Oryzias latipes: one gene and its partners. The protein of the gene in region 3 interacts with the protein of the main gene of each other region in a biochemical or structural test. Links are inferred from orthologs where the notes say so. Each region holds a gene or a part of one and is shown on either strand. Other genes may lie near its edges.

Region 1 (2,365 bases), on a different chromosome or scaffold from region 3:
AGGAGCAGCCAGAGCAGCTCATGGAGTCAGAAGGATTAGAAGACGATGAAGAGCATCTGGAGTGTTTCCGCTGTGACCTGGGCTTCTGGGATGCCTGTTACACCACGGAAACCAACTGCAGCCGCGGCGAGCTCTGCTACACAGGCCGTGGGAAAGCAGGTAAGATGAGCACCAGCTTGCTATTTCTGTTCCTCATTCATGGAAATGTCTGGGTCGAAATGCTGGATGTTGCTCTCCCTCCTCAGCTGACGCTCTGGATATAAAGACTCTGGGCTGTGTTATGGCGGAGGAGTGTGGGGTGGAGACGACAGTGGAGCTCTTTCCTAACAGAACCGTCTTTGCCATGACCAAATACTGCTGTGACACGCCTTACTGCAACTCAGCAGACCAGTTTACTACATGCACACTCTTGTATCTCACTGCTTTGATAACTACTTTGAATCTCACTGTTCCATCAACCTAATTTTAGTTCATTAGTTTGTTTTTAAAGAGAGAACGACTGAACCACATGCTCAGACCTCCAAAAAATGTCTTCATTTTTGTATTTATTAATAATGAATCTGCAGAAACTGGACCGTTAAAACAAAAATATCTGTTTATTTGATCATTTTTCAACACAAAATGCTTGAAAACGTTAAATAAAATGTCCTTTCCTGTTTTGTAACCTCAACCTTTGTAACATACACAGAACATAAAACGTTTCTCTCACTCCAACAGAGATCATGTGTTCTTTGTGCTTCTGCTCTTAACCTGAAACATTTATGGACAAAATAACAGTGGATGAGTTCAGCTGGAGTTCTGTGGCTCTCCAGCAGAGGGCAGGATTTCCTCTTTCATAAAACTCTTTAGGTCCAAATCTTTGTTGTCCAGGTCGAGGCTCAGGAACTTCTCCACCATAATCTTGCACCTGTCAGTCATAAATTGTTATTTTTTGTTTCACTTAAACAGACATATAAAGCCATTTCAGAAGTTCAGCAAACCTCTTTTCCTTTTCGTCAGACGAAGCTCCCTGGGTGCGTTTGATGGGCTTTCCTGTTCTGTAATGTTCCGACACCTGACGCGAGGCAGAAACGACAGTCGGTCGCACTGTAAAGTCTGTGAGCTCTCCCCGGTGGACGTTTATGAGTGTTTACCTCCACTGCTCTGTGTACCAGGCGAGCTGGCAGCCCTGCAAGGGATGCGATATTGGCTGCGTAGCTCGACTGGCAGATTCCTTCCCTCAGCTGGTACAAAAACACCAACTCATCTCCATCCACGGCAGTCTCCAGGGTCTAACCAACACACACATGGACAGACAGACATGCAGGCAACTTCTCTGTGGGCTTTGATGGCATCATTAGAAAAGACAAATACCTCAGGCTAAATTGTGTTTTTCTATATGAGCTTCTGACCATACCAGAAAAGATACCATTCTGCTCGCTGGCAGCAGGCCTAGCTGCAGCAGACTGTGGAAGTTAGTAGACAGCAAGATGTGAGGAACATCCACAGGAGCCTTCCTCAGCCAGTGACAGACTGAAGCAGCCAGCAAAGACAGACCATCCACCTGAGCAGAAACAGCATACATTTCCCAGCAACACCCTCATTTCTGCAAACTACAGAATCTAGTGACTGAGCTGTTCCTATGAATAATTCCTTTAAACTTTAGGATGAAAAACGACAACAGGTTGGGTATTTTCCTTAAATAGGTGTATAAGTTTGGACTTTTCTGCAGCTCCCAAAAAGAAACAGGTGAATTAAGCTCTTTTTGTCAAAAACAGTCATAACACTGACTCACTACTTAGTGCACTATACTGTATAGGGCGTTTGCCATTTTGTAGAGCTGTTCAAATCTACAATTCCAAAATCCAGTGCCTTGGAAATTTCCCAGAAGTCTTTGCAAAAAACTAGAGTGCATTGATGCACACTAGATTAGTAAATATAGACCACAATGCATTGCTGTTGAACAATTTGTCATCTGAAAAACTTATATACATTTATTTTTTATAAATCATCCCAGTTTTCATCATTAAAACTCAGTGGATTCATAAAGAATCTTCCAGAAATGTTCATTTTTTTAGGTTTTACTTTGACCAATTGGAGACATCAAATCTGGCTTGAAAAAAAAAAAGTAGAGAGCATCCGAATTGCATCAACATCCAGGGCATTAGACAATACTATATACTACGCACTGTAGTCTTTTAGGTGTTTAGGGAGTAGTGAGGGAATTCAGATATGGCTCTACTCACTGCAGCGTTAAGAAAAGACACATCTGCGTATCTGCAGGAGTCAACAGCTGGTATTGCTTTTTCTTTCATTGGTTGACTAATTTCTGGTTGATCTGAGTGTTTGTTTCAAATAAAGGGCATTTTGTCTCTTTGTAAGGCTC
Region 2 (4,206 bases), about 440 kb from region 3:
GTGTGGTACCTCCGCAATCAAGCCCTGAGCTAATCAGCCTCTCCGACCTGGATTTAGGCAGGAAAGGCAACACTACATCCAATTGAAAAGGATAACACCTGTACTCCATCCCTACAGCTCCAAGCACAGGAAAGCAAACACCAAGAAAAAACAACAACTTTCTGCTCATAAACTGTTTTTTTTTTTTTTTTTTTTTTTACATATTATGGTTTCTCTGAAGGGTTATTTGAGAACTCACCCGTTTCAGAAATGACACTAACTGCCATATTGGTGACGTCGGATGTGCAGCAGACTTGCGTTTCTTCGGCTGGGTTGTCATATCTGCTGAGCCCGGTCACTCTGTTGATATAAACGGTCTTTCCGACAGACGTATTGTAGTGGTGAAGCCAAGTGCCAGATGCTGAATCCTCCTCAGCCCCGGCCTGAAGAGGACTTGTACTGCGGTGCGGGGTGGACCCAGCATGCACTGCAGTATCTTGAGGATTCTGACTGCTGCTTTCCTCCTCTGTGCCTTTATTACAGCTGCTAAGACAGATTTTCTTCTCCAACATAGTGCTGGGCCTGTGCAGAGAAACTTCTGCCTCTTCTTTCCTCAGTTCCTTTAACTGGGAGAGTTTTGCAGAGAAAGATAATTTGTCTTTATTCTGAGTTTTCCTAGCAGGAAAGCATGACAGATTTTGGGAGGAACTCTGTTTCTCCCTATCCCCTTGCACCTCAGCAGTTGTACGTTCCTTCCAATCATTGCTGCAAACAGACAAACTTGAGGAATTTAAGACAAGGCTGGACGTCTGGGGACCTCTTGCATCTTTCTGTAAATGCTGACGAGGTAGTTTCATCTCACCAGAATGGGCATACATTTGTCTAAACTTGTCAAGGGATCCGGATTCCTTAAATGCAGACAGTTTCTGACAAGGAAAAATTCTGGAAATCTTTGTGGGGGGGACAAAAGAAGGGTCTCTGCATGGATTTTGAGTGGATCTTTCCTGAGGTGCATTCAGAGAGATTTTGCGTTTTGGTGCAAAGTATTTATTCTGGCTATTTCCTCCTAACGTCTGCAATGGAAACGTGAAATTGTTAGTTAGCTGATTATCTTGAACAATTGATTCAGACAAACTGATCTTTCTGTTGCTTGCTAAGGACTGTTGTAGCCTGCCTGCGACTTGTACATTCCTTGTTGGCTTTTTATGGTTGAAGTCATTTCGAACTAGCTGTTTTGGCGAGTTAACGCTTTGCCTCACATCTTCTGAAAACCCAACCTCGTGTACATTTGGCATCTTTGCATTTTTAACGACTCCACCGTCTTCTGACTCAATTTGTGTTGTCGTTTGTGACTCATTTTCAGATGCACCCGTTTGTCCTGATTCTTCGGTCTCATCAGTTTTGCTCTTAGTCAGACCAGACTCTGGGCAAACCCCATCATCTGTACTCCTACGATGAACAAGTTCAGATGCAAGTTTCATTCCATGGTGGCAGTCCGTGGCGGAAATGTCTGGGGGTGCCGCTCTCGTTTGGTCCTCCTCTTGATCTGCTTTGGAGGCACAGAACACTCGTGAAGACTCGCAGTCCAAGTCCTCCTGAGAAAACTCTGACATCAAGTTCTCCCTCCTCAGGAAAGCTCTGACTGCCTCTTCAACGCAGAGTAAAACCTCATCCCAGTCTCTGAACTCTATTAGAGTTTTGGTTGGTTCAAAACAGATATCATATTCTGAATAAGAACATTTAATGTTGAGGATGTAGACGCCAAAAAGCTCATGGCTTTGCTTATTCTTGGGACTTTTAATGACAGAAGGGCCATCTGAGGGGTCCGGTTTTTGTTTTAATCTGCGCAGTAGGAGGTTCAACAGCTTGTGGATCCTTGTTTTCAACAGCAGCCTTTCATTGACATACAGGAATTGCAAGCTGTTATTGTAGTGTCCCTCTTTGCCAAGGTAACCGACTGCTTCAAACTGCTTGTGGCTGTAGCAGATTTCTCCCAGCTTCTCTGCTCGTGTGAGACCGTGGATCTGCACGAACCTGTGATAGGTGCTTTTAGCTTTTGGGAGCTGTACCATCATGGCTCCAGTGGAGTCATTTTTCAAGGTAAAGGACACAGACGGGTTCATGAGGGAAACGGCCTCCACCCTGTGCCTGACCCGTTCCCCCTCCAGCACAGCATCCAGCCTCCTCCTCCGCACCGGCATGTTGTGGAAGAAGTTACAGACGATGACGGTTGTCCCCGCAGAGGGTCTAACAGTCTCTGCTTCAAATACATCCACGCCCCTCCCGTCTTTAAACAGCTTCACGAGGGTTTTGGCAGACGCCCGGGAACGGGATGAGATTTCAACCAGCGTTGCCATAGAAACGATACTTGCCAAGGCCTCTCCTCTGAAACCGTGCGATTTGACGTTGTCCAGGTCTTCCAAAGAGCCGCATTTGCTTGTGTGATATCTGTTTCCCACACGCTGCATGTTCTCAGTGTTCATCCCGGCACCATTGTCGATCACCTGGACTTTAAAAGCCTCCAGGTCCATTCGGACTCCCACGCAGGTCGCCCCGGCATCTATGCTGTTCAAAACGAGCTCCTCTACGCACTGCTGCAGGGAGGGGATGGCGACGCCGGAGCGAAGCTGCCCCTGAACTTCTGGAGGCAACAATTTAATCATTGTACTGCTTCTCTTCTCTGAGCATTGAGTTGTTTTCATCTCTGCTATAAATAAAACTAGTCAGCAACTGATATAAAACTAAAAGTCATTGACTAGAAAAAAAATAGAATACATATTCTTAGGTCAAATATTACAAAAGCGTTTTTTTAAAAGCCTTCAAAACAGCAAATGACGTCAATTTAAAAATAAATTAAACGCAAAAGCAAGTGTGTCGTTGTTTACAACCAACGTGTTGAAAAATGAGAACGTTTTCCTCAGGTTTTAGCTAACAGCCAAATCCTACAATGCCATCTAGCGGTTAGTGGTGGAATTGTCGCCGGGCAAATCTATCCGGTTAGCCCTTGTGCTATCTTAGATTACCCCACCCTTACATTGACGTGTTCTCCCTACCATGACAAAGGTGGTTAAAGGTGGAAATATTTCATGTAATCCATGGACACCAGTGAAGTTCACAAATCATTTAAGAAAAAAGGTTCAAAGCACTTTCTAGTGGGTCTAGATGACCCAACTCCCGATGTTAAAGTGCCTAGGATAGCACAAAGGTTAAAAAAGTTCCCAGAACAGAGTGAAGTTATCCTTTATAAGTATTATCTTGTTTTCTAGAATCCAAAAATATGAACAAAATGCCATAATATTCAAAGAATATTCAAAATTACTAGGATCTTGAAGAAAGCCTGATAAAAACTCTTATTTTTTTTTTATTGGTAGGTGCAGCACAATTTATTTGGTCATGATGTGATTAATATAAAAACAGGGAGAAATATATTTAGGTGGGTGAGGCTACTTCAAAAATTCAACTTTTTAAACGTTGAAACAGATTTAGTTTAAATTATGTTTAGACAACTACAAACTTGTGACCTGGCCTAAATAAAAAAAATATTCTTACAAAAATAAAATGAAAAATTTGCCCATGTATGTTGTGTGAGTCTGATTTTATTCTCACAGATATCTTTTTTAACGTCATCCTTTACTGACTGCATTTACTTGAGACAATTTATTTTTACATCCCATTCACAGTGTTTAACCTTTAAAATGGAGCACCTTTTAAAATAAAGTTTAGATTTTCTTTTTCTCTATATCAGTGGAAATACAAACACCAGAAAAACCAGTTTAAATTCATTTCAATTTATTTATTATTGGCAGTCCAGGTAAAGGTTGTTACCAAATGATTTTCTTAATAGGATATTAAGGAGTGCCAGCATTAGTATTACACATATGGAGCTCAATAAGGTTGTTTTATTACAACCATTTAAATAACATTATTTTTAAAAACTAAATAAATATGTAATGCATTTTAAGATTAACAACATAGTGAAATGAACCTATTTCATTTCACTATGTTGAAAGAGGAGTGTTCTAAGCTATCAATTGTTTTTTCATTGCTGAATTCTGCTTTGGTTATGCGTGACTTAGGGCTGCCAGTGGATTTCAACCACTCTTGCATTTCCTTCACTTTGCTGCAGGGACCTTGCAGCTGCCCCTGGACCGTTCCTGCACCGGTGTTTTGAACCCAGCCGACTAAGCCAAGTTTCTTCCCCTCAGCCTGGAAAACAAAAAGAGCTTT
Region 3 (4,295 bases):
GAGGAAACCCGATTTAACACAAATACACAACTAAATGAAAAAAAACTAAACAGGCATAATATAAAAAACACAGTACAAACCATTTTAGTACCTTGGCAGTTATAGATCCACGACTAACAAGGGCTTGGTTGTCTTTTATATTCACTTTCAGGAGTTTCTGAAGTTCCTCCAGGTCTGTGACAATAACTTGTGCTCTGTAAGTTTAAGATGAAGATGTCACTTTTGACTTATCTTGATTTTTAAACGATGATCTCTCTGGGTAAGGCAAGAATGCTAAGATATAGTAAAAGGGGAAAAATAGCTCCTAAAATAATATCCAGGAATCTCACCCGAGTGTTGCTGCCATCAAACCAACAACTCCTGTCCCAGCTCCCAGCTCAACAACACGCCTGCCAGACCACACGTTGACTCCTGACGGCGGGTCATAAAATTGTTTGGTTTCTAAATATTTCGCTAGGACAATTGCTGCATCCCAAACTACACAGCCGACGTCCCCGACATAACACTGCTTCACCTTCAGAGTGCAACCGTCGTTGTTCTCAATTTCTCTCACGAAATATTCGCTAGCATTCGCATTCGACGCCATGTTGAACCGATGTTTTGGAGAGAGAAAAAAAAACTACAAACTTCCTGTTTAAAACATTTTAGAGTAAAAGGTTAATAGTTTGGTGTGCCAATGACGTTTTCTCACTTTACCTATATCTGTGTTTTTATTGTGCATTAATTCACCAATTAAAATAAATCAGTAAGTTATATTTTGATTTGCTAATGGGCAAATAATTTTAAAATACATGTGAAAATATTTTCAAAATAAAACATTTCCGGCTACGGACTTGGAAGTGGTATTCATTTTTTCTTGTCTGGCCTTTTAAAAATGAACATTTATTGCATTTATTTTTGTAAGTTATTGTAATTTATTTATTGTTTTCTTGATTTGTGGTTACAGTTTTATCATTATAATTATTTTATGCTGTTGTTGTTTTCCTAATACATTTTTATAAACAACATATACAACAAACACGTGAATGCCAAAGGAAAAGAAAGAACAGACATACAATTAACAATGAGCTACAGTTTTTTTTACTACCTCTTCAAAAATTACATTTGTTGAAATGGCCTTTTTTGAAATTTATTTGATAATTTTACCATATTGATATTGCATACATTTCTGTAAAAAGTTTTTCAAGTTTAGGTTTTTAGTTCGACTACTTCCTTTTATGAATATGCAATTTCCCCAATAACAAATGTAGTTTTGTTTAATAAAAAAAATAGATTCCGATTCATGTATTCATTAAACCCGCCTAAAAGTATGTATTTTTCTGAATTGTTGTTCCAGGTCTAGGACTGTTATCATTTCCGACACTGTTCGCCAAGGCTGCCTTGACGGCAGTTGCACCGGTGGACATGCGCAGATGCTGCTACGGGGAAGAGAGCGCCGCGCGCCCAATCTGTGGTTGTTGCTATCTGTCCAGAAAAATACACCTCTCGATTTCCAGTTGTACTGTTTGACACAACTTTTTTACCCTGTGTGAAAATAAGTTTGGAAACTTTTGTCCGTTGTCAAACTTTTGCGATATGTAAACATGTATAATAGTAGCACAGACGAGGTAAGCGGTGGGGAAGCCTCTTTAGGAAAGAAGGGAGTGCAGGAAACGGCCACCTCCTACGGTCCTGCATCACTTTCCTCAGCTTTCTCCCAGCATAGTTTAAATGACAGCAGCACCAGCCAGAGACTATCTATACCAAGACTAACCTCAGGTAATCAATAATATAATATCTCTAACCAAGTTAGTTTAAAGCTAACTTAAAGTAAAAAGATGTCTGTTGGTAACCAGACCAAATGAAATTCTATAATGGGGTCTTTTGCTTTTGTCCTTATGTTTTGAGTGAGTTTGTTGCTTTTTCTTTTGAACTCAGCAGGTCAACGCCACAGCAGCTTCGGGGCAGGGAGGACATGGTCATCAATGCCCGCACCAACTTCAGACAGTTCTTCCTTTCACAGCTATGGAGGAACCCCAAGAGTCAGAAGAACACCCGTGTCTGCTGGGCTCACAGGTTGCAGACACAGACATCACTAGTTAAAGTCCCACTCCAGTCACCTTTTGATCCATTGTAAAAGCGTTCCTAGTGATCTGTTAATTATGAAAATATGCCACTTTTAGGCAAAATAAAGCAAAACTGTGTTGTTTTCGTGGACATTAACTCTGCGGAGTGGCAATAATTCGTCAGAAATTTGCCTCTGAGTGGTGGGCGTTGCTGTTGGAGTAAGCCTGACCTCATTTCCCGTCATCCTTTTGTTTACATTCTCTCCCGCTGGCTCACAGCTCCTCGCAACCCCAAACCTAATATTACAGGTGCAACAAAAATGACGAGCATTATCAGATCTAGTTTTCAGCCAGATGCCAGTTCAAACGAAGAAAACAAAGACGTTCATAGATCCGTTTGTCAATACATCTGAAGTTGATGCATCAGAATGGAGCAGAGCAGGGAGCTCGAGCCCACTAACTAAAGCAATTACATCCCTGCTGCAGCCTTTTTGCAACTGGAGACTGCATTTTTTTATGTCTCAACAATTTGAATAAAGACATTCTCAGAAATGCAATGATGAGCTTAATTTTCTTTATTTACGTTCTCCATCATGAGAAAAATGCCACAAAAGGATGTTAAAAATTCCCAAAGCACGATTTTCACTGGAGTGGGTCTATAAAATGTCCCCATCCAATAACATGCTTGAAATCAATTCAACACTTTTTGGTTTTGGATCGTTTTAGGAAGTAGCTGCTCATCTGGATCCACAAACACTGATGCTTCTGTGATCGTAGCTGTGGTAGAAGGCCGAGGTTTGGCCAGAGGAGAGATCGGTATGGCCAGCCTTAACTTGAAATGTCCAGAGCTGGTACTTTCCCAGTTTGCAGACACAGGAACGTATGCCAAGGCAAGCTCTGTATTTCCTATAAAACTAGCATGAACTGAGAATCCGACATGATGTTGAGCGTAAATGTCTCACGTCTTCTTTTGTTTCCTTTGAAGGTTATTACCAAAATCCACATATTGGTCCCAGTGGAAATACTGATGCCTGACACAGCCTGCGAAAAGGGCAAAGGAACAAAGCTGTTCAAGCTCATCACAGAGAATTTTCCTGTAAAAATGAGAAGTGAAAAAAAAAGCTAATAATTTGTGCTGGAACAATTCACCGAGATGAATCCGTTGGGGTTGTGTTTGCCCTCTTTTCATGTTTTTTTTTTTTTGCCAGGGTGTACCTTTCACAGCAATTCAAAGGAAATATTTTAATGAGAAGAAAGGACTGGAATACATTCAGCAGCTGTGTGCTCCAGAATACGGCACCGTTTTAATGGAAGTTCAAGCCAAGTAAGTAACTGATTTCATAAATGCACAGTGGGAGTTTAACTGGAGCATTGGGCTTTTTTATATTAATCAGTATTATGGTTTGCTCAGGTATTATTGCCTTGCAGCGGCTGCAGCTTTGCTGAAATACTTAGAGTTCCTCCAGAATTCAGTTTATGCAGCCAAGTCTCTTAAAGTGACCTTCAAAGGAAGTGAACAGACTGCCATGATCGACTCTGCATCTGCTTACAACTTAGAGCTGGTGGTCAATAACAGAGATCACAGGTAAGAAAAGGCATTTTTATCCTGTCATTGTAATATATCAGTAAGCCTCTGTCTTTGCTCAACCTTGTGCAGGAGTGAGCATACTCTTTTAGGGGTGCTCAACCATACCAAAACACCTGGGGGTGCCAGAAGATTGCGCTCCAATATCTTGGAGCCTCTTGTTAATGTGGACACCATCAACATGCGATTGGATGCTGTACAAGAGCTCCTGCAGGACGAGGAGCTTTTCTTTGGGCTAAAGAACGGTCAGAAACTAGCTACAAATATTTTGACCACAATTCAAAAACGTATGAGTATCATTAAGTAGAGCATTAGTCTTTCCCTTTTTTTTTATAGCCATCTGCCATTTTCTTGACGTTGACCGGCTGCTGTCAGTTCTTGTCCAGATCCCAAAACAGGAAACGGTGAGTATCAAACTTGTAGTTTTTCTTATGATTGAAACTAACAGTTAATCACCATTACGCCTTTGTTTATTGATTTTTTTGTGGGGTTTTTTTTGTGTGTGTGTTTAACTCTGCTTTTTTTTCTACAGGTTCAAGCTGCTGAAGCCAAGATCACACATGTCATTCAGCTGAAACACACACTTGATCTGGTGCCACAATTAAGGGTGCGTGAATCCATGTCCACCCAAAAAAAAACCCACACTTATGCACTATTTATATAAT

What was found.
Region 1: the proteins of msh4 (region 3) and msh5 form a complex in vitro, tested with the Homo sapiens proteins (2 studies listed by BioGRID). The link is inferred for Oryzias latipes from reciprocal best matches to the Homo sapiens genes MSH4 and MSH5.
Region 2: the proteins of msh4 (region 3) and mlh3 form a complex in vitro, tested with the Homo sapiens proteins (2 studies listed by BioGRID). The link is inferred for Oryzias latipes from reciprocal best matches to the Homo sapiens genes MSH4 and MLH3.

Annotation. Positions count from the first base shown.
Region 1 is NC_019874.2:17,861,316-17,863,680, forward strand, and holds the end of msh5 (mutS protein homolog 5), read right to left. Parts: intron 1,544-2,365; coding exon 1,397-1,543; coding exon of another isoform or gene 1,355-1,396; exon of another isoform or gene 1,354-1,354; intron 1,272-1,353; coding exon 1,134-1,271; intron 1,055-1,133; coding exon 981-1,054; intron 908-980; coding exon 787-907; 3' UTR 575-786; downstream 1-574. Other genes in the region: sperm acrosome membrane-associated protein 4-like, read left to right, coding at 1-159, 246-463.
Region 2 is NC_019880.2:13,231,498-13,235,703, reverse strand, and holds the start of mlh3 (DNA mismatch repair protein Mlh3), read right to left. Parts: upstream 2,875-4,206; 5' UTR 2,682-2,874; coding exon 239-2,681; intron 118-238; coding exon 10-117; intron 1-9. UniProt on the Homo sapiens protein: Probably involved in the repair of mismatches in DNA.
Region 3 is NC_019880.2:12,788,399-12,792,693, forward strand, and holds the start of msh4 (mutS protein homolog 4), read left to right. Parts: upstream 1-1,344; 5' UTR 1,345-1,583; coding exon 1,584-1,758; intron 1,759-1,917; coding exon 1,918-2,055; intron 2,056-2,771; coding exon 2,772-2,935; intron 2,936-3,030; coding exon 3,031-3,141; intron 3,142-3,253; coding exon 3,254-3,369; intron 3,370-3,456; coding exon 3,457-3,630; intron 3,631-3,702; coding exon 3,703-3,875; intron 3,876-3,966; coding exon 3,967-4,034; intron 4,035-4,162; coding exon 4,163-4,237; intron 4,238-4,295. Other genes in the region: vcpkmt (protein-lysine methyltransferase METTL21D), read right to left, coding at 81-194, 330-586. UniProt on the Homo sapiens protein: Involved in meiotic recombination. Required for reciprocal recombination and proper segregation of homologous chromosomes at meiosis.